Linked DNA regions of Mytilus edulis. The protein of the gene in region 1 purifies or fractionates together with the protein of each later gene. This does not show direct contact. Links are inferred from orthologs where the notes say so. Each region holds a gene or a part of one and is shown in the gene's direction. Other genes may lie near its edges.

Evidence for each region.
Region 2: the proteins of protein LSM14 homolog A-like (region 1) and eukaryotic translation initiation factor 4E transporter-like purify together in Homo sapiens (affinity purification with mass spectrometry; 3 studies listed by BioGRID and IntAct, with this or other methods). This does not show direct contact. The link is inferred for Mytilus edulis from reciprocal best matches to the Homo sapiens genes LSM14A and EIF4ENIF1.
Region 3: the proteins of protein LSM14 homolog A-like (region 1) and complement component 1 Q subcomponent-binding protein, mitochondrial-like purify together in Homo sapiens (affinity purification with mass spectrometry; 3 studies listed by BioGRID and IntAct, with this or other methods). This does not show direct contact. The link is inferred for Mytilus edulis from reciprocal best matches to the Homo sapiens genes LSM14A and C1QBP.

The regions. Positions count from the first base shown.
Region 1 is NC_092348.1:83,812,328-83,819,772, reverse strand, and holds the start of protein LSM14 homolog A-like, read left to right. Parts: upstream 1-4,445; 5' UTR 4,446-4,579; coding exon 4,580-4,700; intron 4,701-7,445. Other genes in the region: transcription initiation factor TFIID subunit 4-like, read right to left, coding at 23-112, 669-808, 1,272-1,431, 1,847-1,990, 3,282-4,379. UniProt on the Homo sapiens protein: Essential for formation of P-bodies, cytoplasmic structures that provide storage sites for translationally inactive mRNAs and protect them from degradation. Acts as a repressor of mRNA translation. May play a role in mitotic spindle assembly.
Region 2 is NC_092349.1:11,805,597-11,813,647, forward strand, and holds the start of eukaryotic translation initiation factor 4E transporter-like, read left to right. Parts: upstream 1-5,043; 5' UTR 5,044-5,058; coding exon 5,059-5,141; exon of another isoform or gene 5,142-5,477; intron 5,478-8,051. Other genes in the region: GTP-binding protein 128up-like, read right to left, coding at 4,874-4,912. UniProt on the Homo sapiens protein: EIF4E-binding protein that regulates translation and stability of mRNAs in processing bodies (P-bodies). Plays a key role in P-bodies to coordinate the storage of translationally inactive mRNAs in the cytoplasm and prevent their degradation.
Region 3 is NC_092349.1:26,143,251-26,150,202, reverse strand, and holds the start of complement component 1 Q subcomponent-binding protein, mitochondrial-like, read left to right. Parts: upstream 1-3,847; 5' UTR 3,848-3,864; coding exon 3,865-4,153; intron 4,154-6,952.

The DNA.
Region 1 (7,445 bases):
CTCCTATAAAGGCTATAGTTACCTTGAGAAATGGCACTAAATATGGTTGAGGTGATGATTTAAGTTCTTTCTGTAACCTTTCAGTAAATTGTTCTGGTTCAACTTTATTGTCCTGTAATAAATATTTAATATATGAGTATATATCGGAAATTACAAAAATATGCATGGTCTAAAACATTGATAAATGTGTGAGCACTGTGGTAAAACATAGCATACTATATGAACTGTAGTAAACATGTTTCTTCACACAATTTTATCTCATTATATTACGAAGTAGGAAAAGATGTTTATTTAAAAAAAAAATCTGTGAATAAAATCATCATGGATACCAGGCTTTAAATTTTGTACCCCAGATTTGTGTTTTTTTCCTAGAAAAGACTCATCAGTCATTCAGTGATGCTCGAATTAAAAACGTGAAAAAGGCCAAATAAAGTATGAAGTTGACTAGCATTAATATGATTAAGAACCCAAACTTTTACTCAAAGTTTAGTAAAATGGGCTAGTGATATATATATAGATTTTAGATAAATAATAGCAATAAAATGCATATATATGTCATTAACAAAATGTCAAAAAGTTTGTAATCCTCTGTAAAAACCTCTCCAATAAATATGCAATCCTTGCAGAATCAATTTTTAGAAAAAAAAACCAGTATCAAATATACTTACTATTAGTCCTTGGATAAGTTCTCTGACATTCTTCACAGTTTGTTCTGGTTGACTTGCTGCTAGTTTGATCAAAGTTGACAAGAAATTTTTACATTTTTTCACATTATCTAATGGTTGTTGATGATGACCTGGTAATGAACCTGTAAACATAAATTCAGAAATGATGATAGAAAAACAAAACATTAATTATTTCTATTCATCATCTAATAAAATGCTTAGTTTAAGAATATCAAAATCTACCTGGTTTATCACGATATTGGTGCATTATTGTCCCTGAATATTAACCTATCTGGTTCAGAACTGAAAAAGGTGTGACAGCTTTATTTATCATGTCTATAATATCATTTCCCTTTATTTGGTATGAAAATAAAACTGTAAAAGTTAAAACTTCGAAATTTGGAATAGGGTTTATTTTTGCTGAAAATCATGCATGGAAAAGAGACTGCTTTATTTATCATAGTTCCTGGAAACAAAGTCTGTCATATTACTGTCATTGAGTCATTGTGAAGAGAATTGGTTTTAAATTATATTTTTGTTTTATCTGAACTTTTCTTTTTAACAAGTATTGAAATAAAATTTTCATGACAATTTTGAGTTATCTACCTTGACTTGCAGATGGTGGTTGAGATACAACTGTAGGAACTGATGATGTCACTGATGGTTGAGTATTTGGTCTGACTACCCTCGGAGGTTGTGCTTGTTGTGGTTGAATAGTCACAATCTGTGAATTTGGAGGGCGCTGCTGATGTGAACTTACAGGTGGCTACAAAGATAATGCATGTACATGTAAATTGAAATACATAAGAATTCAAGGTATCAAGTTGCATATATGTACATGTTGTATGTTGGCCTATCATGCCTATTGTCTAAATATGTCAAATTAAATTGTTACCAACATGTAACATATAAAATTAAGGACTACATAAAACACGGCAGGATATAAACTACACCATGCAGAAAATCTGGAAGAGAATGTGATATTGAAATGATTTAATAAGATAGTATATTGGGGGGAATGAGGCAATTGACTCCTTGTTAATTCATAGCTCCATCTGACGTAATCAGCTTGAATTACCTGCTTGCTTGAACTAATTAAAGTTCATTCAATGTATAATTATTAATTTCCAATAACTTTTGATAATACTATAAAGTCTGTCGGGCAGACAATCAATACATACCCTGACATACTGTATTCTTTGGCCTTGTGTAGTAGGTTGCTGAGATGCATGTAAAGCAGGGACAAACATCAGCTGACCTTGTTCATTTCTCATCAGTACTGTCCCAGGAGGAATTTGCACACCAGGCGGTAATGTAATTGTATTCTAAAAAAGTAAACAGGAAATGTTAGTCTATTAGTATAAGGTTGAATGAGGTATATTGATATCCGACATTTAAACAACAAATCCAAATAAAAGGAAAACAGATATAATTCATATAAATATTGCAATTGTCAAATGTCGGCAGGGTTTCTATGAATGCACTAAAAATGTATATTCTTGAACTAAAACAGCATTGCTCTACACAGAACTTTATCTAAAAAACTCACAAAGGTTTGACTTTTTTGTTTAAATATTTGAAATTAATCATATCTTGCAATATATTTATTGTGATATTTAGAAGCTACATGTATGTATTATAAACTTTAAGAATTATATGAATTACACATTTTTAAGAAAAATTATCAGACAATTAATATAAACCAATTTTAATAATTAAATCAAAACATACACTTGCTTCTTTATATTTCTTAAAAGAAAACGAACGAAATTACTAGGATGCAAAAACAGACATTCCTGAGCAGGGTTGACTGAGGGGCAAGCAATTATATTATTTTTTGAATGGCCTTAGAAAGGTGTACATGTGTTGTCTCCCTTTGATCTGGATAGCTGTACAGTTTTTTATCATACTTTTTTATTTTCTGTGATAATGTTACAATCTTATATATATTCATTTGTACAGGTGGGTAGTAAACAATTGAACTTTTTTTTGTAAATTTGTCAAGTTTTTACACATGATACATGTAGTTATCATCATTATGATATGATACATGTACATGTAGCTATGATAGTACTTATACTATCTGGCCACATCATTTTATGTGTATTTAAAATTGCAGTGTATAATTATGTCATTGCCAAAGAAAAATTACAAATTGAAGCATGATAATTTAGATTAATTAAAGTCTAAAAAGAGTTATTCCCCTTTTGATGACAAACTATAGAAATTGTGCTAATACAGTGTAGATTGGTTCATGTGCATGTTAATTACTGTACACATATATATAAGGTAAATAACAGTTGCTTACTTTAAAACAAGTCATATATACGGGTAACTGGAGCAAAAATTGCTTGTGGCTGTGCCCCTAAACATGTTTGAATATATGAAATCAAGGCAATATAACATTACACCAAACATTAATCAAGAGCTTATTGTATATCTTTCATAGCTGTTTTATACATTAACATACATGTACATCTCCGAAAGATACAATGTACATGCATGTAATCTTTACATTTTCTTTCAAAATTTTGTTACTCTTCTACATGCCCATGTCAGATTAAAGTGAGCTAGTCTAGAAAAAATAAACAAAGTAGCAAGTGGTATATAACTTACAGGAGCACCACCAGGTCTTGGAGCAATGTTTATTTGAGAGTGACGAGCTGGTGTAGCTATACGGACTGGTTGGTGTTTTCCATGAGGCACCTGTACTATTCCAGGTGGTCTATTTGAATGAGCACTAACATTAACAACTTGCATTTGTCCTGAATTTTGTACAATTTGTGGTCGCATTACTACATGTTGCGGACCTGTTTTCACTGTAATAACACCCGAATGGCCTTTGATTGGAGCATTTACAATATGAACATTGGTTGCATGTGTAATATGATTTCCTGATGTATATACACTATTTTGAAGTCCTGTCACTGCTTGTATAGCTGCTGTCCTTGGTTCATTTTTCACACTTGATACAGGCATATTTTCGGTTTTGACAATATACTGTGAGCTTATTGCTGGTTCTTGTTTAACACACACATTTTGTCCACCTGGAATTTGTTGACTAGATGATACTTGAATACAGTTTCCTTGTGACATTAAAGGTTTATGATCTCCTAATATTGCAACATTTTGAATAATAGCACTATTGTCTGGTTTGATTGCATGCTGCGAACTAGCGGATATGGCTGGATTTGAATTTGGCGATGGAACTGGTGAATTCCTTGCATTCTGAAAACCTGGAGAGTTTGATACTGTTCTTATTATGTGAGGGGACTGAATACGATTTGATTCTGGTATTGGAGAACTTCTATTCACTGTCAATGAGTTCACATGTGTACTAACAATATTGCTTGTTTGTGATGAGTTCATAGGATTTAATATTGAATTGATTCCAATCAACTGTGAGTCTGTTTTTGAGGAGGGAGACTGAACATTTAAATTATGAGAATTTGTGAAGTTTTTGTGAGCTGATACAGCTTGTCCATTGGCACCTACTCCAGTAGCCGTGTTGAACACTGAACCACTATTTTGTGGTGTTGAAGACCTTGTTGTGCCAATGTGATTGTTATTGACTGAGGCATCTGATAAAGAATTAGACACATCCTTATTGGATGGGGAAGCTAGACGTGCTTCTAAATTGCCAACTAAGGCATTAATTGCCAGTTCATCTACAGAACTATTAAGAATATCATCTAGAGGGTTGACAGCCGCCATTTCCCTAGCAGTAAATTTTTAGACTGAAGTACGCAGGCGCAAATCACAGATTTGTGGGACACTTTTTTCAAAAGTACGCCCTCTCGTGACAGAATCAAAACATCCGCCATCTTATATTCTGCTGATACAATATTTTGGATGAAGCAGATAAATCCGTTGGCATCCTCCTTTGTTTGAAAGTTTAGAGATTCCTTGCCATCATGAGTGGGGGGATTCCATATCTTGGTAGCAAAATAAGTCTTATTTCTAAAGCAGGAATTCGATATGAGGGTATTTTATATACCATTGATCCGAATGAATCGACAGTTGCATTAGCGAAAGGTAATATAGATAGCATTCCAGAAAATGAAATATATGCATGTTGTGAAATTAACATCTGCAACAAAAAAATAAATGCGTTTGTCGTTAAAAGCGACAGCATTCCTTTACCTACTCAAAAGTTTGGTGCCATGAAATAACCGGAAAGTTTATGACAAAAGCGATAGGTTTTGCACAAACGACAATGGGTAAACCCAGCACTTCCACTTTGGGAGTAAACACGGTAACGTTTGAGCTTTAGACATTATCATGCAAGTAAACATACTCGACTCTGACATAAAAAAAACGAATTTATGTTGTGAAAGATACCTGGCTTATCCTTGTGTCATGATTTAATATGCCCTACACTGGTTTCGTCTTAAACTAAGAAGATGCATCAGTGGCACTTGATACATTATGGTTAGAATGGATATCAGGTCCGTTCGCCCTAATAACATGTTCAACTTGGGTCTGTTAGCCTTGAGTTCCTTCGTCCATAGAGTCTGTTCGCCCTACTAAAAAAAATATTATTCTTGGCATTGAAGTTAAATAAACTTATTCAGATATTTCTATGGTATAAATTCTTGAAATTTATGGAATTCGAAACATGGAAATATTTAAAAGTTTATGGCTTGTTTAGGATTATTAATTATTCAATCACAAAATAATGCTCACTGATTGTGATACTTGTCTTTTGATGGATTAATAATAAAAACAAACGTTTTGTTTTGATAAAATATTCAGCTTCAAATTAATAGAAACAATGATGTACGAACTGTAAATCATGAGCAGTGATCTGGAAGTTTTTTTTCTCTATGGGCCCAGGGCCCCTCAAAAATAAATTCAATGGGCCATTTTAAAAAATAATGGGCCATGTTGTCAAATGAGTAGGCCATTTGAATTGACTTCTGTAAAAAAAAAAGTATCAGTATATTTTGGCAAAGAGATGTTGATACTTAAATAAAATCATGAATGTAAGTATCAACATCTCTTTGCCAAAATATACTCCATCATGGATATTGTTCCTGTGATTTGGTAATTCAATTTCAATGAATATACAATAACTTCTTCCAACCCCAATAATATTTAAGTCGACCTTTATTTACAATGTTTAAACTGGTACGGTTACCTTGTTCATATTCATGTTTTTTGTACATTAAATTTGGGTCTTCGTCGATACCATACTTCTTTCAGACGTTCCGTATCTATCAGAGGACATTTCGGGCATTTCCTCTGCACTTCTTGTATTATTGTAACTTCATCACATTGACAAGAATAACAAACAGTATAGAGTACCATTAATTCATAGAACAAAACAACAAATCGCTGAAGTCATGTTTACAAAATGTCAAAACGAGCCAAAGACCAAAAAATGACAAGGACACTAAGCGTCTGTTATGGAGATCAAAAACTATATTCCTAAAAAGTCTTTGGGGTTCTTCAATCGAAATAATAGCAAGCTAAACTAAATGAGATTATTATTAGAGTTAAAACTCGTCTGTACTAGCCAAATTTCACAAATTTAAAGTTGTTTATAAAAATAATATATCATGAATGATGGTTAATTACGTTTTTCGGGTTATCCGTTAGACCGCATGGTTCTATTATTACAATAGGAAAACACCGAGACGTTAAATTGCATGGTTCTATTATGATAGGAAAACACCCGAGACGTCCCAAAAATATATAGGTGCTCCTATTATTAGAGGAACTTTACACAGTTGTGTACACACACATGGCGGCACGGAACATTATCGGAAATTCATTTGACGATATCTAAACGTTTCGAAACGAAGTGAAAACTATCGTGCGCCACGTGGGCGCTTACATTTATCAATGTATGCGCCATTGCTTGTCAATATGCGCTATAGGCGCAAGGCGCACGACCTTCCCGATCACTGCATGAGACAGATTTACAAGTTCATTTATTCTTATACTCTTAGACTAGTCTCAGTTATACTGCATACATTGATTCATGATTGACTGAATACAAATTACAATTTTTTTGTTAACAAATATCAATAAAGATAAATACATTCATGACATTGTTTTCCAGTATTCTACTCTGCAAATCAAAGGGAAAATTATAAATTGGTTGTGGCAATATAAATAATGTCAAATTTTAACATATTTTGTTCAAATATTTAGAATTATGCAACTAGACAACACTTTGAAAAAAATAAAAATCAGGGCGAATGGACCCTGGGCGAACAGGTATCAGGGTGTACAAACAATAAGATTTATACCCATAGACCATTAAGAGTCTAACAAGTCGAATTAAGGAAATAGCCACTTCAATTGTTCCACAAAATGCAATCATTGCTGAAAGACTTGAGTGACTATCGATTGATTGGACTTTTGTATTTGCATGTGCTTTGTTTAGGTTGTTCTCATAGAGGTCTGCATTATTATATATTTATAGTCTTACTAGCAATGTTACAAAGATGAATTAGGAACAAGATATATAAAATGATTTATAGTATAATGATAATTATGTGTGCGTTTTCAGGGATCTCCATGACCTGTTTTGTGATGGTGAAGAGATATCTTTTGAATATCTTCTGCACCTTCAAATGAATATATAAAGGAAGATGTGGTATGAATGCCAATGAGACAACTAACATCACCACAAGAGACCAAATGACACAGAAATTAACAACTAATGTTCACTGTACTGCGTTCAACAATGAGCAAAGCCCTTACTGCATACTAGTCGGCTATAAATAGCCCTGTAATGACAAATTTAAAACAAATCAAATGAGAAAACTA
Region 2 (8,051 bases), on another chromosome or scaffold:
AAATGTTAGTTCCTATGGCTTTATGACGTCCTATTAACCTATGACCTTGACCTCAATTTCAAGGTCACAAACCATGGACCTTGAATCAAAATATCCTAGGTCTTTAATATGTTTGGTTAATGAGTACTACCACTTGACGCGTAATTTTAAATGTAAGATGGACAAAAACTCCCTTTTATTGTATGCGCAGCCTTTCAACCAAAATATACAAGTAAGGACATGTCGCAACTAATAATTTATGAAAAATTATTTGTCAAAATGTCATACAGTATTTGAAAAGAAGTGAAAATAAGCCAAAATCAAAATTTATAATATGACCTTGACCTTTGACATTGACCTCATTTTCATTTTTAGTACCAATGACCTCATGAAGACCCTAGGTCTCTATCAGTTATGGTTTACCAGTTGAAAATGCATATCGCTTGAATCAAATGAAAAAGGGGGAATAACTCTCATATGGAGTCCCCATAGAGCTATGGTTCAAACGAATATTCTTATCCTAAATATGTAACGAGCAATTTGGTAAAATAAAATCTTTTACGGTTACGAAGGAGAGGTGGCCACAAGAAAAACAGTGTTTGGGGAGATAACTCTTACAACGTAATGTATTTTGTTATAATTACATTTGATATATGTTTCATTATAATACTTTATTCTGATTGGCTAACTGCACATCACATGTTATTCCTCAAGCAATTGCATCACTAAATAAAACTTTTCATTCATGATAACACGTGGTCCCACAATAAAGTGCACAGATGAATTGAATAAAAAAGTTATAAAATTCGTGTTTTCATGATCCTAGCTAAAAAAAGTAATTATAAGTATTGAATGTTTCTTTTTGTAACCTCATAGGGTTGCAAAAGCGTTGACCGTGTGCACATTTTTAGAATGAAGCGCTTACGCTTACGCGCTTCATACAAAAAGTACTTCGGTCAACGCTTTTACACCTCAATGAATTTACAAAAAAAAAGCATTCAATACTTAAATGCAGTTGTAAATTTTTAAAGCAAAAAGAGTTAATACTAACATTCACTTTTTTGGATGTTCATGTACATTTTGTATGTATTTATTTTTCTCAACTACATGAATTTTTTGGTGTATTTTTAATGATATATATGAGTAGTCCAAATAATTATTACGTCTGGCAAGGCTTTTTAAATTTTATTCTGGGACACCTTCCTATGACCACAAGGCTATGTTAATTTTTTTCTGGGACGCCTTCTTAGGAAGCCTTCCTACGAGCGTCTTAGGAAGGCGTCCCAGAAAAAAATAAAATAGCCTTGTCAGACGTCATTATTATTTGGACTAATACATGAGATATTGGATATTTTTATGCATTATTTAACCAGTTGAGTCTTTTACAGGATTGTTTGTTTAATGCTGTTTAAACATTACTGAAAAAAAACCCACCTTAAATTTGCTAATTATTTGGCATGAAAGTTTGATTTATTGAAAGGGACTCATAGTTTTCCATTTAATTTTAATAATTGTCTAATGGTTAAAACAATAGCTTCGTTGTTTACTTTTATACACAACAACATATTCACTTTGGTTTCGTTGTTTACCTAATATTCACTATGTACTTGGTAACAGTTATTAATTAATTGAATAGAAAATATTATAATAAATATTATTGGAAGCCGAATTGACGTCAAATAGGTGCCGATTTGACTAGATGCCAATTTAACCAGGTGCCGACTTGACTTGTACGTTTCAATTCCTCTGCGATCGTTTGCGGTATTTTCTTGAGAAAACCTATTTTCCATCATCAAACAGAAGAAGAAACTGCTTGAAATGATTCCCGAACGCTTCGTGATTGTTAAAATAAGTTTAATTCACTCAAAAAACAATTTTAAAACTTGCGATGTTTAAACAGGAAGTTTCAAAAGCACGTGTAAAAGAAGAAATTAACCGGTGAGAGTGGAAATCCGTACATAACATATATCACTATAGTACGACTTTTAAAGCAAAACAGTTTCATCCTTTTGTAAAACAGTCTTTAATATGCCTATTACATTAATGTTTGAAGGGTCTTAAGCTTATTCAAACCATATAAGTCGGTATGAAACACCAAAACGGAATGATAATATACCGATTACGTTTTGTAGTTTACAAAATTCTGGACTGGTTCCTGTCAAACTACAACACTTTGGTTCGAATGTAGTGGAATACAAACAGAAACCAGTTAGTTTGTAAACTGGTTCCTGGCTGATTACTACACAATGCTCATGCATAATGATAACACAAGCACATTCCAGTTTGTATTGAAATTAGTAAATACGAAACCAAGCGCGGTAGGCAGAGAAATCAGGTCGGCAGTTATGGAACAATGACTGCGTCATTTTCCAAAAAATGAGGTTATGAAATTTTTGGGAAATGTTATGAAATGTTATCATAGATATAGGAAGATGTGGTGTGAGTGCCAATGAGACAACTCTCCATACAAATAACAATTTAAAAAGTAAACCATTATAGGTTAAAGTACGGCCTTCAACACGGAGCCTTAGCTCACACCGAACAACAAGCTATAAAGGGCCCCAAAATTACTAGTGTAAAACCATTCAAACGGGAAAACCAACGGTCTAATCTATATAAACAAAATGTCTGTTCTGTTTCTCAAGTTTCAAAACAGCTACAAAGAAAATACCTGCTACAGGACGACACCATTATTATCGACATAACTGACACAATACAATCAAATAATAACTGAATGTCACCAACATGTACTAGTTTTATTTTAAATTGCAATTATATTTTTACAGATATAAATGTTTAAAAATATGTTTGAACATGTTGAATATAATCATATATTTTTTTTAAATTATTTCCATTAATCATTATAAAATTAGATGTTTAAATATTAATTTTATTTAGAAAACAATTTCTTTTAGTCAGTGCTTGTGTTAAGAATAGCTGATTTCTTTATTCTGTTGTTATTCTTAATGAAATAAAAATGTTCGGAATAAAATAAGAGTTTTTTCCTATACACACTTAAACTTTTTTAGTCTTTGATAGTTTTAGTTTGATTTCAATTTCAATTTTTATTTTAAAATACACGAATTAAGCCATTTTAATTAAATAAATGATTTGCTCAAGATGACTTAGGGCTATTCCAGAAAAAAATGTAGGGGGTGGGGGGGGGGGGGGGTTGTTGGAAGGCAGTTTTTGTCAGCACACGCCACCCAGACAATTGTAACTGAGAATTATAGTGCATTATAGTGTGAAAAGTTGCTCTGATACCCATCACCCATGTATTATTAATACAATGTGCCTTCCAACCCCCACCCCCATACATTTTTTTCTGGAATAGCCCTTAATATTTTCCTTCTGTTATTTGTAATTTTATAAATAATATTTTTTTAGTCTAATCTTATTTCACAATCAAATTGTGTATACTCTGCTAAGTGCTAAAATAAATTAGCTAGGACTACCTTGAGAATATTAAATATGAATACCAGTTAAATAAAATATTTCAGAAGATTTTTTAGGTATTTCTAACAAATTCAAGCAAAATGTACAAGAGTCAAGACTTTCTTATAAGTTGCTATTAATTGATTAATAAGAAATTTAGTATAATTTGATGGGATCCTAATTAAACTAGAAAAGGAACGAGATGTTGCCCATGTGATATTGGGCACACTAGGGCTGCAGGTCATCAGAATAAAGTAAACTGACCATAGTTCATAAACTAGAACAAAACCATGATAACATAAAATTGATTTCAGGACACTTTACCAAAAAATAAGACTATTTGCAATCATTCCCAATGACATGAATTAGACAACTTTAAAGAGATAAAATTCATAGAAGTTATTGGTCACCATATTTAATAATACTAAAATTTAAAGGAACCTATGTGATATCCAGTTATGGCAGACAAAGATATATATGGTGTATTAATTAAAGCTGGGAACAGAATATATATATCTAAAAGGAAATAAATCTGATAGGATTTTCAGTGTAAAGTTGATCAAATCCCAAACTTCCTGCGACCTTGAGTATGTCGAGAGATTGATGGATTTTGAAAGCGTCTGACTGCAAAACCATTGAGAATGTTCAATAAATTAACCACATTATTACAAATATACAACAAATTAAAGTTTTATTTTCAAGTAGATATACAATGTATTTTGTCATATAAAATAAGCAGTATACATTTAAGTGTGATTTATCTGATGCAAAGATCTTTATATTGGTTTGTGAATTTCACAGTTACTGTGAAGCCATTGCACCATTTTTTATTACTCTGTTTGCATTCAGTTCCGTGATGAAATGAATTCGATTATATAAATGACAAATTTGAAGTGACAGAAATCAAGTTCAATACACTGGCCTCACTCATTACCTAGTTTGAATGGCATGTCTTGATATTACTAGATATTATTAAGATAATAGCCATTTCATATTTTACACATTTTCATTTACATATCGTGTTATTTTTTTACCCAAAAAAAATGACGCGACAATGAAATCCTCTATTATTAGATAGAGTCAAGTCCCATCAATATATATGTTCTTGATCTAAGGCACTAAATCATCAGATCATATATTTTCTGTTCATCATATCCTTAATGGAGATGTGACAATACATTTTAAATAGCGCAAAACCCCATGCATAATATGGTATAATTATTTATCTGACATTCCTAGCAAACGTAGTCTATCAACACAGCCACAGGACATATATGTCACTAGCGTATTCAACATGTTCAAAGGCTTATCCCACATATTGGTAGTAGAAAGTTTTGAGAAACATAGGACTTTTCATTCCATGGGTGGGTAATATTTCACCATGCCCATGGCCATGGTATCAAATGAATGAAAAAAGGGGTACTCCAGAAGTTTTACAAAGCCCAAAAACTCATATTACCTCAGCCTCAATTTCTGATATTCTTTCCAATATACCCATTTTGAAGTTTACTGTAAAGTCTCAATTAATAAAAGTGTTAAAAATGAGAAAATGTGTTGAACAAAACTGAGGGAAATGTGTTGTAATTTTTGGTTCGTTCGGAATGGTTGTCGATGGAAAAATCTAAAGATTTCCAAATGAAGTAAATGACCCGGAAGCAGTCTGTGAGACGACTTTTATCGAGAAAAAAATCTGGGAGACAGATTAGCGTGTGCATTTCAAATCAGAGGTGCTTTTGCAAGAAGGCATATTATTTATTCTCTCTTTTTATTCAATCAATAATTGCATTTACTGGTGAAATTTTGCAAAATTTGACCTTAGAAATGAAAATTAGGTCAATCTTGCTCTGCGCATGCAAGTATCCGGGCGATTTCCAACATTTTCCGATGTTGTACTGCAACCGTTCAAAAGTGGACTATGTATCATCTGTTTCAGCGTGTATTAGGGCGACATTATAGTTAACCAGACCATATTTAGATATACTTTAGTTTCCTATTATATAACATTTTCGTTGTGTATTGTCTTTCGTGTAAAACTTCACAAACGGGGCTCTGCCCTGCTGAAGGTAAGCCATCAATCAAAAATCGACAGAGATGAAAACAATGCACTTATACTCTTGTTCTCCCTCTTTGTGTAAAGTCAATCTTTTTGGAAATCTTGATTTGTTGTAATGACATGACTCTTACATCATTTTAATTGTTCCGTTTCGATTTATTTCAGATACTAAGAAATGTCTAAAATTGTTTACAAATTTAATTACTAAATTAGTATAAAATTGTGTTAGCATGGTAAGTGAAATATAATATTGGGTTACAGAAAACCTTTCGACTGTTTTCAAATGATGTCTTTCCAAGAAAGACCCAAGTATAGTTTTATCAGTAGTAAGTAACAATTTACCTTGCCAATCTGTCATGTCTGTTAAAGGCTATTTAACTTTTAGCTATTTATCCTCTGTAACGGAGTAAACAGCTTGGTGGTGTCATAGTAGAGTGTTAGCCTCGAGTGAGGGATGTTGTGAGTTGGAACCTCTGCCGGGTCAAACCAAACACTTTAAAATTGGTATTTGCTTCTTCTCCGCTAAGGACGCTGCATTTAAGAATAAGAGCAGAGACTGGTGGAAATAATGTGTCCTGGTTAAGTGACATTCCTTCAGAGCTAGCACGTTAAAAATCTGGCTCAATGTGTCGGTCTACATACAAAGCAGGGTAAATCTTAATATTACATTAACATGTTCTCTTATTAACATGTTCCCTTCCTAAATATGCTTATTATCATGCCGCTGGACGTTAAGCAGCAATCGATCGATCATCCTCATCATCATCAAGGAAATAATCTGATTACACTTTTAATAATCCCTTTGGAGTTCTGTGTAGTAAACAATTTTCTAATATGGCAAAAGCGAAATGTGTTGATGTAACAGGATATTTGGCAAGTCTGCCTGCCCTTATAAACCTTAATCCTTATTACATAAATGTAATACATTTGATAATGGAAACGTAATGTGTCAGAGACAACAACTCATCGAAAGAACAAAAAAACATCCCATGGCCACATTTGGTCTTCAACACAGACAAATGACAGATTAAAAATCCCAAACCTGGTTGGGGGCTTCAGTTATTTTTTTTCGCTTTTTACGTATGTACCTCAGCACAAACCTGTGTCACTTACGTTAGTATCAGCATTATATACAAGTCTTTTAAAACTTAAAACAGACCTGTACAAATTGAAGAATTTCATAGTTTACTGGTCTGTAGTTTATCACGATTATTTCCCATTGTATTTTGATGAATTTAGTTATAATGAAACAGGGATCTCCATGGATGAAAATTGAACGATGGAGGAACTTTCATATCACAAACCGTGTCTACGCTGTATAGTGTAGCGCGATCTGAAGTATTTTATCCCTCTATACAAGGAATGGTGAACATGCTAAATCATTGCTTATTTAAATTATATTTATTTGAATTTTCATTATAGAATTTGAAGTATCAATATTTTCATTTATTGCCGTTTTTAACCATTCAAATGCCAAGTCTTCGTGGTCCCCCTTTAGTCGAGAATGACCAAAAGCTGTCATGAAGGTCCCCATGTAGATTTCTTGTATTTTTGGTAATTGTTATGGGGGTTAAAAATCAAATGATGTGGAGCTTATTTTTCATGGACAGTTGTCATATTCAGAAATTCAGAACCCATTACCGGTATGGCTGATTTGCAGCAACAACAAAACGATTCGTACGGGTTATGTAAAAGGTTAAAGAGATTTGTAAAGCAAACATTGACAAATGAAAACGTTTTTAATGACTTTATCTGTCAAATTGATGCTGTGCAACATGCATCTTTCGAGTCTGAATAGAAACCGGAAATGCGGATGTATCAATTTGATTGTAATATACGAAATGAATTCGGAATTACGATACGATATTTCTTTACAGGAAATATTTAAGTTTTTACTTTTAAACTTTTAAAGTAATTCTAAATTATCGTTACAGCAGTACTAGTATTCAAGTTATTTGCAATGAAATAATATTTACTGTTTTGCGTCTTATTTTGTACTTCTAATTAAAAAAAGGGGGATGCTGATTACGTAAGTCAAAATAAAGCACGTGTTCGACTTGTTAAACTGTTTTCTTTGTAACTGGATTATTAATTTTTTTATTTAATCTAAATTATCATAATCATTTGCTAAAACTTAGTTGATTAATTCGACAAATGGATCGTCTTTCCTCAGATAGTATTCTCCTGTGTGGTTTGTTGATCTACCTGTACAAGCTCAGGTACAAGTGATTAGCGATCTTAATCCGGATATCCCTCAGGCGTTAGAACTGTATTGGATTATAACATAAAAAGCCTAAGGGTTATGCAATTACATGCATTTGATTATAATTGAAAAAAAAATGGCGTCGGGCTGCAAAAAACGATGAAGTTTTTAACGATGGCGGAAGACAATGTAACGATGGCGCAAGACAATTTAACGATGGCGCAAGTCATTTGACGATGGCGCAAGACATTTGAACGATGGCGGGGTGCCATCGTTAAACAGGCCATGGAGATCCCTGATGAAACCAGTATCAGTTATTCATGTGCTTATTCTTTGGTTGTCTATGTTGTGTTTTTTCATGTTTTGCCATGGATTCATCAA
Region 3 (6,952 bases), on another chromosome or scaffold:
ACACCAGTTTTATGAAATTTTCCTTTGCTGATTAACGAAAGAAGAACTGTACCATTATCATCATTATTCACATCCATACTCGTCATATGTTGAATCAATAAAATTGAGATAGGAAATGGGGAATGTGTCAAAGCGACAACAACCCGACCATAGAGCAGACAACATCGTCATAATTATGTTTAATCAAGACTCCAGTCTAGAAGAGAGAAAGCATCCAAAACCATGTAAAATCATATTTGTGGAGATACATATTAATTTTCAGTGGCGGATCCAGGGGGGGGGGGGTTCCGGGGGTGCGCACCCCCCTTTATTTTTGCCGATCAATGCATTTGTATCGGGACATATATTTTGCACCCCCCCCCCCCTTTGCCCTGGGTGCCCTGGGTTAGCACCCCCCTTTCGAAAATTCCTGCATCCGCCCCTGATTTTGTAATTGGAAATCTTACCTTACCTTACCTGTGTTTATTTAAAAATGCCGCAATCAAGTCAGGAATATGACAGTTGTCAGTTGCCAATTCGTTTCGTGATGCGTTTCATCATCATCATCATCATCATCATCTCATCATCATCTCATCATCATCATCATCATCATCATCATCATCATCATCATCATCATCATCATCATCATCATCATCATCATCATCATCATCATCATCATCATCATCATCATCATCATCATCATCATCATCATCATCATCATCATCATCATCATCATCATCATCATCATCATCATCATCAACATCATCATGTTATTATTATTATTATTATTATTATTATTATTATTATTATTATTATTACTATTATTATTATTATTATTATTATTATTATTATTATTATTATTAGTTGTATATTCCCCATGTATAGTTTCAAAAGGATTGAAAAGGTATTCTAACAGTTTATAATATATATGTTACAGTAAATAGGTGAAATTAGAAATTACACGTAATTACTAAACATTTCAGTAAATACCTGTAATTACTAGCCAATTTAGTAATTACATGTATTTACCAGTTGTTTTAGTGATAACTGGTATTCACTGATTTTTTTTTTGTAATTTTTACAGCTATTTACTAACTTGATATTTTTGTTTTTAAATTAAAGTTATAATTCAAGATACAAAATAAGAACGTAAAGGGTAGGTATTTTAGAGCTTATTTCATTAAGGATAACGGAATATAAGGCACATTAAAAGTGTATATTCTGTAGTGTTTGTGAATTAAAACTGGAAAATGGTTATTATTAAAGTTTTGAAACTCCCTAAAAATCAATTTCAGCATGCAAGACAAATGATATCATTCCAAAATTGAAAAAATATTTGAGAAGTTTACAGGCAACTTCGTCACCTCTTTTTGATGATAGACATTCGATAAAGTAAAATTTTGTGATTTTAAAGAGTAATAACCAACAAGTGTTTAAACATTTTTTTGCAGGAATTAAACGACAATTTTTTTTCTGTCTAAATTTGAAAAAAAAATTGTTATCTGAGCTGACCAGACTTTTTGCCGTATCAATTGTATTTTTTTAACATTCAGGCTATTTGTATTACCATTATGTCTCAGATTTACTTTAAAATATGTTTCTTCTATGCAATTTAACAGTCAGGGGTATTTCTTTTGACAACATTTGCAAAATCTCTCAATGATTTTTACCTACTAGTGCACATGTTTTCGACCGTTTTGTAGGGTACCCCAAAACTGGTCATATTCAATATACCCTAAACATAAAATGAAACGGTGAATTTCCGTAAGACTTTGGCAGATGATGCATGGACCCCTACCTTTTCAATGATGTAAAAATAAGAAAAATTAAACGAGAGGAAAAATTTTGTGTTACCCTTAAAGTTCTTGAAATTTTGATAACTTTCTTAAATTGTCCTAGATTTATCCCAAACTTGAACAGAAGCTTGCTTATGATAATAAGGTAATTTTTAAGAAGTAAATTTTGTAAAAATAAATCGAGTTTTTCCGTATTTTACTTATAAATCTAGTTTTATGCCAGTTAACATTACATTCACACTGTGGTTAAAGTTTTTGAAATTTTAATAACTTTCTCAAAATATCCTGGATTTCTACCAAACTTGATCATGAGATAATATCCAGAAGTAACGATGGAAAAAAATCCTTTTTAGTATATTCCTTATAAATGGACTTCGTTTTTTTCTCCAGTTAACATACCGTACACTCTCCGGTAAAAGTTTTTCTTAAACATTTATTAGATTTCATAAACCATCCTGGATTTTAACCAAATTTGGACAAAAGCTTCTTACAGTCCTAGACAAAAGATAGTATATGGAGGAAAATTTTAATTTTTTTTCCCATTTTTGTTGAGCCTGCGACTAATAGTAGGCAATATACTGGGTTCCATGAAACCCTTACAATTTTAAATCTGAATCCATCGGTAACCTATCTATAGCTAGGGGTTGAATTGAAGGTCACATGAATAAGTATTCAATGAGGTCCATTTATTCACTTGCAAGTGCACAACTCATCAAGCAGGTTTCTGAGCTTATTTTTAGTAAAATAGATCCAGATTGACTGCTTAAAGTGAATTATAATTTCACTATATCATTTTCATTAATGATTTAACAAAAAAATGCTCCTATAAAAAAAGATGCATTTTAGGCTAATCACTTTTTAAGACTGCTCACTGATCAGAGGCGGATTTAGAGGGGGCCCAGGGGGCCCGGCCCCCCCCCCCCTTTTTGGGGAAAAAATTTGGTTGCTTATATAGGGAATCACTGAAGTGTGACTGGAGCGGGCCCCCTCTTAGGTCAGTCAGTGGGCTCTCACTTATGAAAATTTCTGGATCCGCCACTGCTGATCTTCTATAGTTAGTATTACCCTAACTTTTGATCAGCTGACCATATTACAACTTTGTTTTAACAGTTAGTAAATAGGTGTAAAAATTCATTTTAAAATTAGTAATTACTGGTAATAACTAGGCCATTTCAGGAATTACTAGTATTTACTGGGTGCATCGGGTATTACATGTAATTCCTAAAGGAGTAGGTCCAGTAAGACCCCTTTTTGGCCCCAAAATATAGCAGTTTTACAAAATTGTTAAAATGTAAACGTTTAATTATTCATTGGACAGTAGAATGCTTCTGCTACATAAATTTGGGCTGATTTTGACAATACAATGCACATATATCGGGTACTAGCACCATTAAGTCATGCTATTTTACTGAAATCTTCACAATTCTAGCATTTTAGTTAAATTTTAGACGGTTTTCGTGTAAAACGAAAGTGGCCGCATTCGTGTTCATCCTTAATATTGAAATGTAAGTTGTACTTTATGATAAAATATAACATATATAAAGGTTGAGGATGAACACGGATGCGGCCACTTTCATTTTTGACAAAAACTATCTGAAAAATTATATATTTCGGCATATTTGGTAGATTTTTCATATTTGAGCTTAAATCGGTGAGTTTTTTATGACTAAATCAGTTCAAATCTTTCACATACACTAATTGATTTAAATAAAATAGACACTTAAGTGTTTAAAAAGTTGTCAAAATCTTTCGTCAGATGAACGTGAAATTTGAGGCCAAAATCGGTCCTTACCGGACCTACTCCTTTTAGTAATTACATGTAATTCCTAATTTCACCTATTTACTGTAACATATACATTAACACGGTTTGTTTTTTTTAAATGCAAAGATATATTTTTATCGTCTATAGTTCGGTGAAGAATATTGGGTAGTCAACTGTTCGCAGTATTAAAGAAGAAATTCAAAAGTAAAATGTACGAGTTGGTTAAGTACTATTTGTCAGAGTACGAGATGGTGAAGGGACGACATGTCTCGTGGTTGATAAGTCTCGCACCCGTTTCAAGGTCATGCGCATTGACCACAAGTATTCATGCTTTCCGGTACAAATTCACAGAAAAAAGCAATGGCATCTTTAATTTTCAGAAGGTCATCTTTGATTTCCTGTCAGGTTGTGAAAAATTGCAAATCACGTCAAATATTAGGCGTTGCACAAACAGATGCCAATACAAGATCAATCAGTTCATTAGTTGCGAAGACGAGAGAACTTTGTCATCATAGACAACGTGTTCAGATTTCATCACATTTATTGCAGAGAAAACCTACAAAACATTGTTCCAACTGTTCCTGTGGAGTTCATAGTAAAGCAGAAGTTGAACAAGGTTGATGATTTATTTAATTGGTGTATTTTGTCTCTATAAGCAACCCTCAACGCAGGGCTTTCCATTGAAGCCGTTAGCCGGCGGAAATCCACCGTTTACGGTGCCTTCAAGTGCAGGCTTCTTCACTGACAAAAATATAAATTCAAAAAGAAAAAAAAATATTTTTACAAATGTTTACAGGCAGCCGAGAGACGTATTGTCGCAAAGTCGCGGTCACAATAAACAAGGGATGAAAAGTCAGTGTTTACCTTGGGCTAAAATTATATAGTTCACATGAATTCAGGTCACTGATTGGTTGTGTATTTAAAGTTAGAATGCATCGTTTCTTTTCAAAGATGACAAGAGAGACGTTCCGGTGGTCATTGAATGATAACAATAGAGACGTTCCGATGGTCATTAACTCGTGGGCTTTTTTTTTGCTTTTATAAAACGTGATGACAATCATATAGGATGACAATCTTATGTTATGGAATAATATCAGTCAAATTAATGAAAGTGTAGTAGATCATATTGTTCAGAATCTGGAAAACAGTATCTTTTGAAGTTCATTTTTCAAAGCCCATGTGGTGTTCAGAGAATCAAGGTCAAAAACTAAAGTAGAATATTGTCGACTCGCCTCAAATAAATAGCATTTCCAAATGATTTATGTATCCAACTTATTGAACAGTTTACAAAAAAAAAAGAGAAAATCAGAGGATATATCAATTTTCTGTCAATACTTGAGAAATAATTGTATGATTTAAATACGCATAACAGTATTTAGAGAGAAATGGGGGGTCATTTGTTTACAAATGCACGTAGTTATGCAAAATAAATCGATCAAGATTTCTAACAAACTGGATTATTATATAAATAAAACTCCTTTAAAAGTAAATGAATTTTAAGCATTAGGTAATAAAAATGAAAAAAACTATAACATAGAAAAAAATTAAATGTCTTTCCCGAGATTTTTTTTTCTTTCTTGAATTTAATTTTTTTTTTTTATCTTTTATTTGTTTTTCAATAGTCAGGATTTTTCACACCCCATTACACTACCACCTGACAATGGTATCAAGGGGTAAATACAGAAGAAAAAAATAGCAATATATACAAAATGAATCTCTTGACTAATTAATTTTTCTTTGTTTTCAAAATTCCAATAGGGAACATACTTTTTATAATTGTATAAATAAACCAATTTATCAAGATGTTTCGGCCATTGGCCTTCTTCAGTTCTTTATTTTTCCTCTCAACTACATGGCTGACATTATATATATGTCAGCCATGTAGTTGAGAGGGAAAATAAAGAACTGAAGAAGGCCAATGGCCGAGACGTCTTGATAAATTGGTTTATTTATACAAAAAATATATAATTAATTTTTAACAATAAGAATATTTTAGGTTACATATAAATTGTATTTGATTTATCTCTCTTCTCTCTCTCTCTCTCTCTGACTTACTCACATACAACACTAATACTTTCACTCATCTGTTTTGCTACAATATGTGTCATGACTTACTTTTTAATACAATTTTTTTTAAAGAAATAAATTTGTTCATAATTTATAAATTATTTCTTTTCTCTGAACTAAACATAGATAATATGAAAACAACACTTAGTTACATGTAAAGGAGACCAAAATTTTTCACAAACTTGGACTTTATCATTTTTCTTTGCAATATATGATTTTCAAGAAATTGGTATTTCTTTATTTTATTCTTTAACTCAATCATATTTTGTTTTGTTTCATTTAATTTAGGCCAACCTTAAAAATATGTTTGTTTGCAGTTTTCCGACTGTACCTTCAGACTGAAGGGTCGGTAGGTAGGAAAAATATTTTATTTTATCAGCCAAAATACAGTTTAAACAAGCAGTTACACTAAACCAAGTTTCTTGTGAAGAAAAAAAAACATTTTAAAACAACAAACACTGGACATGTTGAAAACCAACATCAAATGAACAGGCATTTTCAGATAAAAAAAATTTTAACCAAAACTGAAACTTTAACATAGCGTCATTATCCAATTTATGACATAAAATATGGTATAATTATTAAATACTGGAACACTTATAAACAAGGAATGTCATTATGACTAGAACTGTTTTAAAGAAATATATTCAGACATGTATGCTTCTTGACTAGAATGTTTTCATGAGTAAAGTATTTTCATCAGAAAAATGTAGATATTAAAGATTTATAAGACAATGTATTAAAGAGTGTATTTTTAACAAGGTTGGTTGGGCGGTAAATACCGCCCCCGGTATTTACCAGTGGTATTTACCGGTATTTACCGCCCCGGACAATACTCCCCAAGTGTTCAATACTGGCAAATACTGGTCGATTGAAATTTTCATGGTTGTTTTTACTATTAATTGAAGTAAAAACATAATAAAAAGTCAAATAAATTTAAACTTTAATCTTTATGCAAATGTCAGCTTATATAAATTAATGAATTTGATATGTTTTATTCATTTATAACACTAATTCCGACTAATTTAAAATTTAGTTATTATGAATTATGATATAACATACTTTAGATATATAAAAATTTACATATTATTTCAACATTTATAAATCAATATATAATTTTTAATTCAAAAAGTATGATTTTACAGGTAATTAAAAGTAAAGGTAAATTAAAGTACAGGTAAATGTAGTTACTTAATATTGTAAGAAAGAGAATAATTGCAATGAGTGGGGCAGCCCCCCTTATCCTAAAGGAGCATACTCATTGCAATCGAAGATAGATTTAATATAGAGAGAATATATTTATTTTTCAAGCTAACCATTCATTTTCTCTACATCTTTGTGTAGTTAG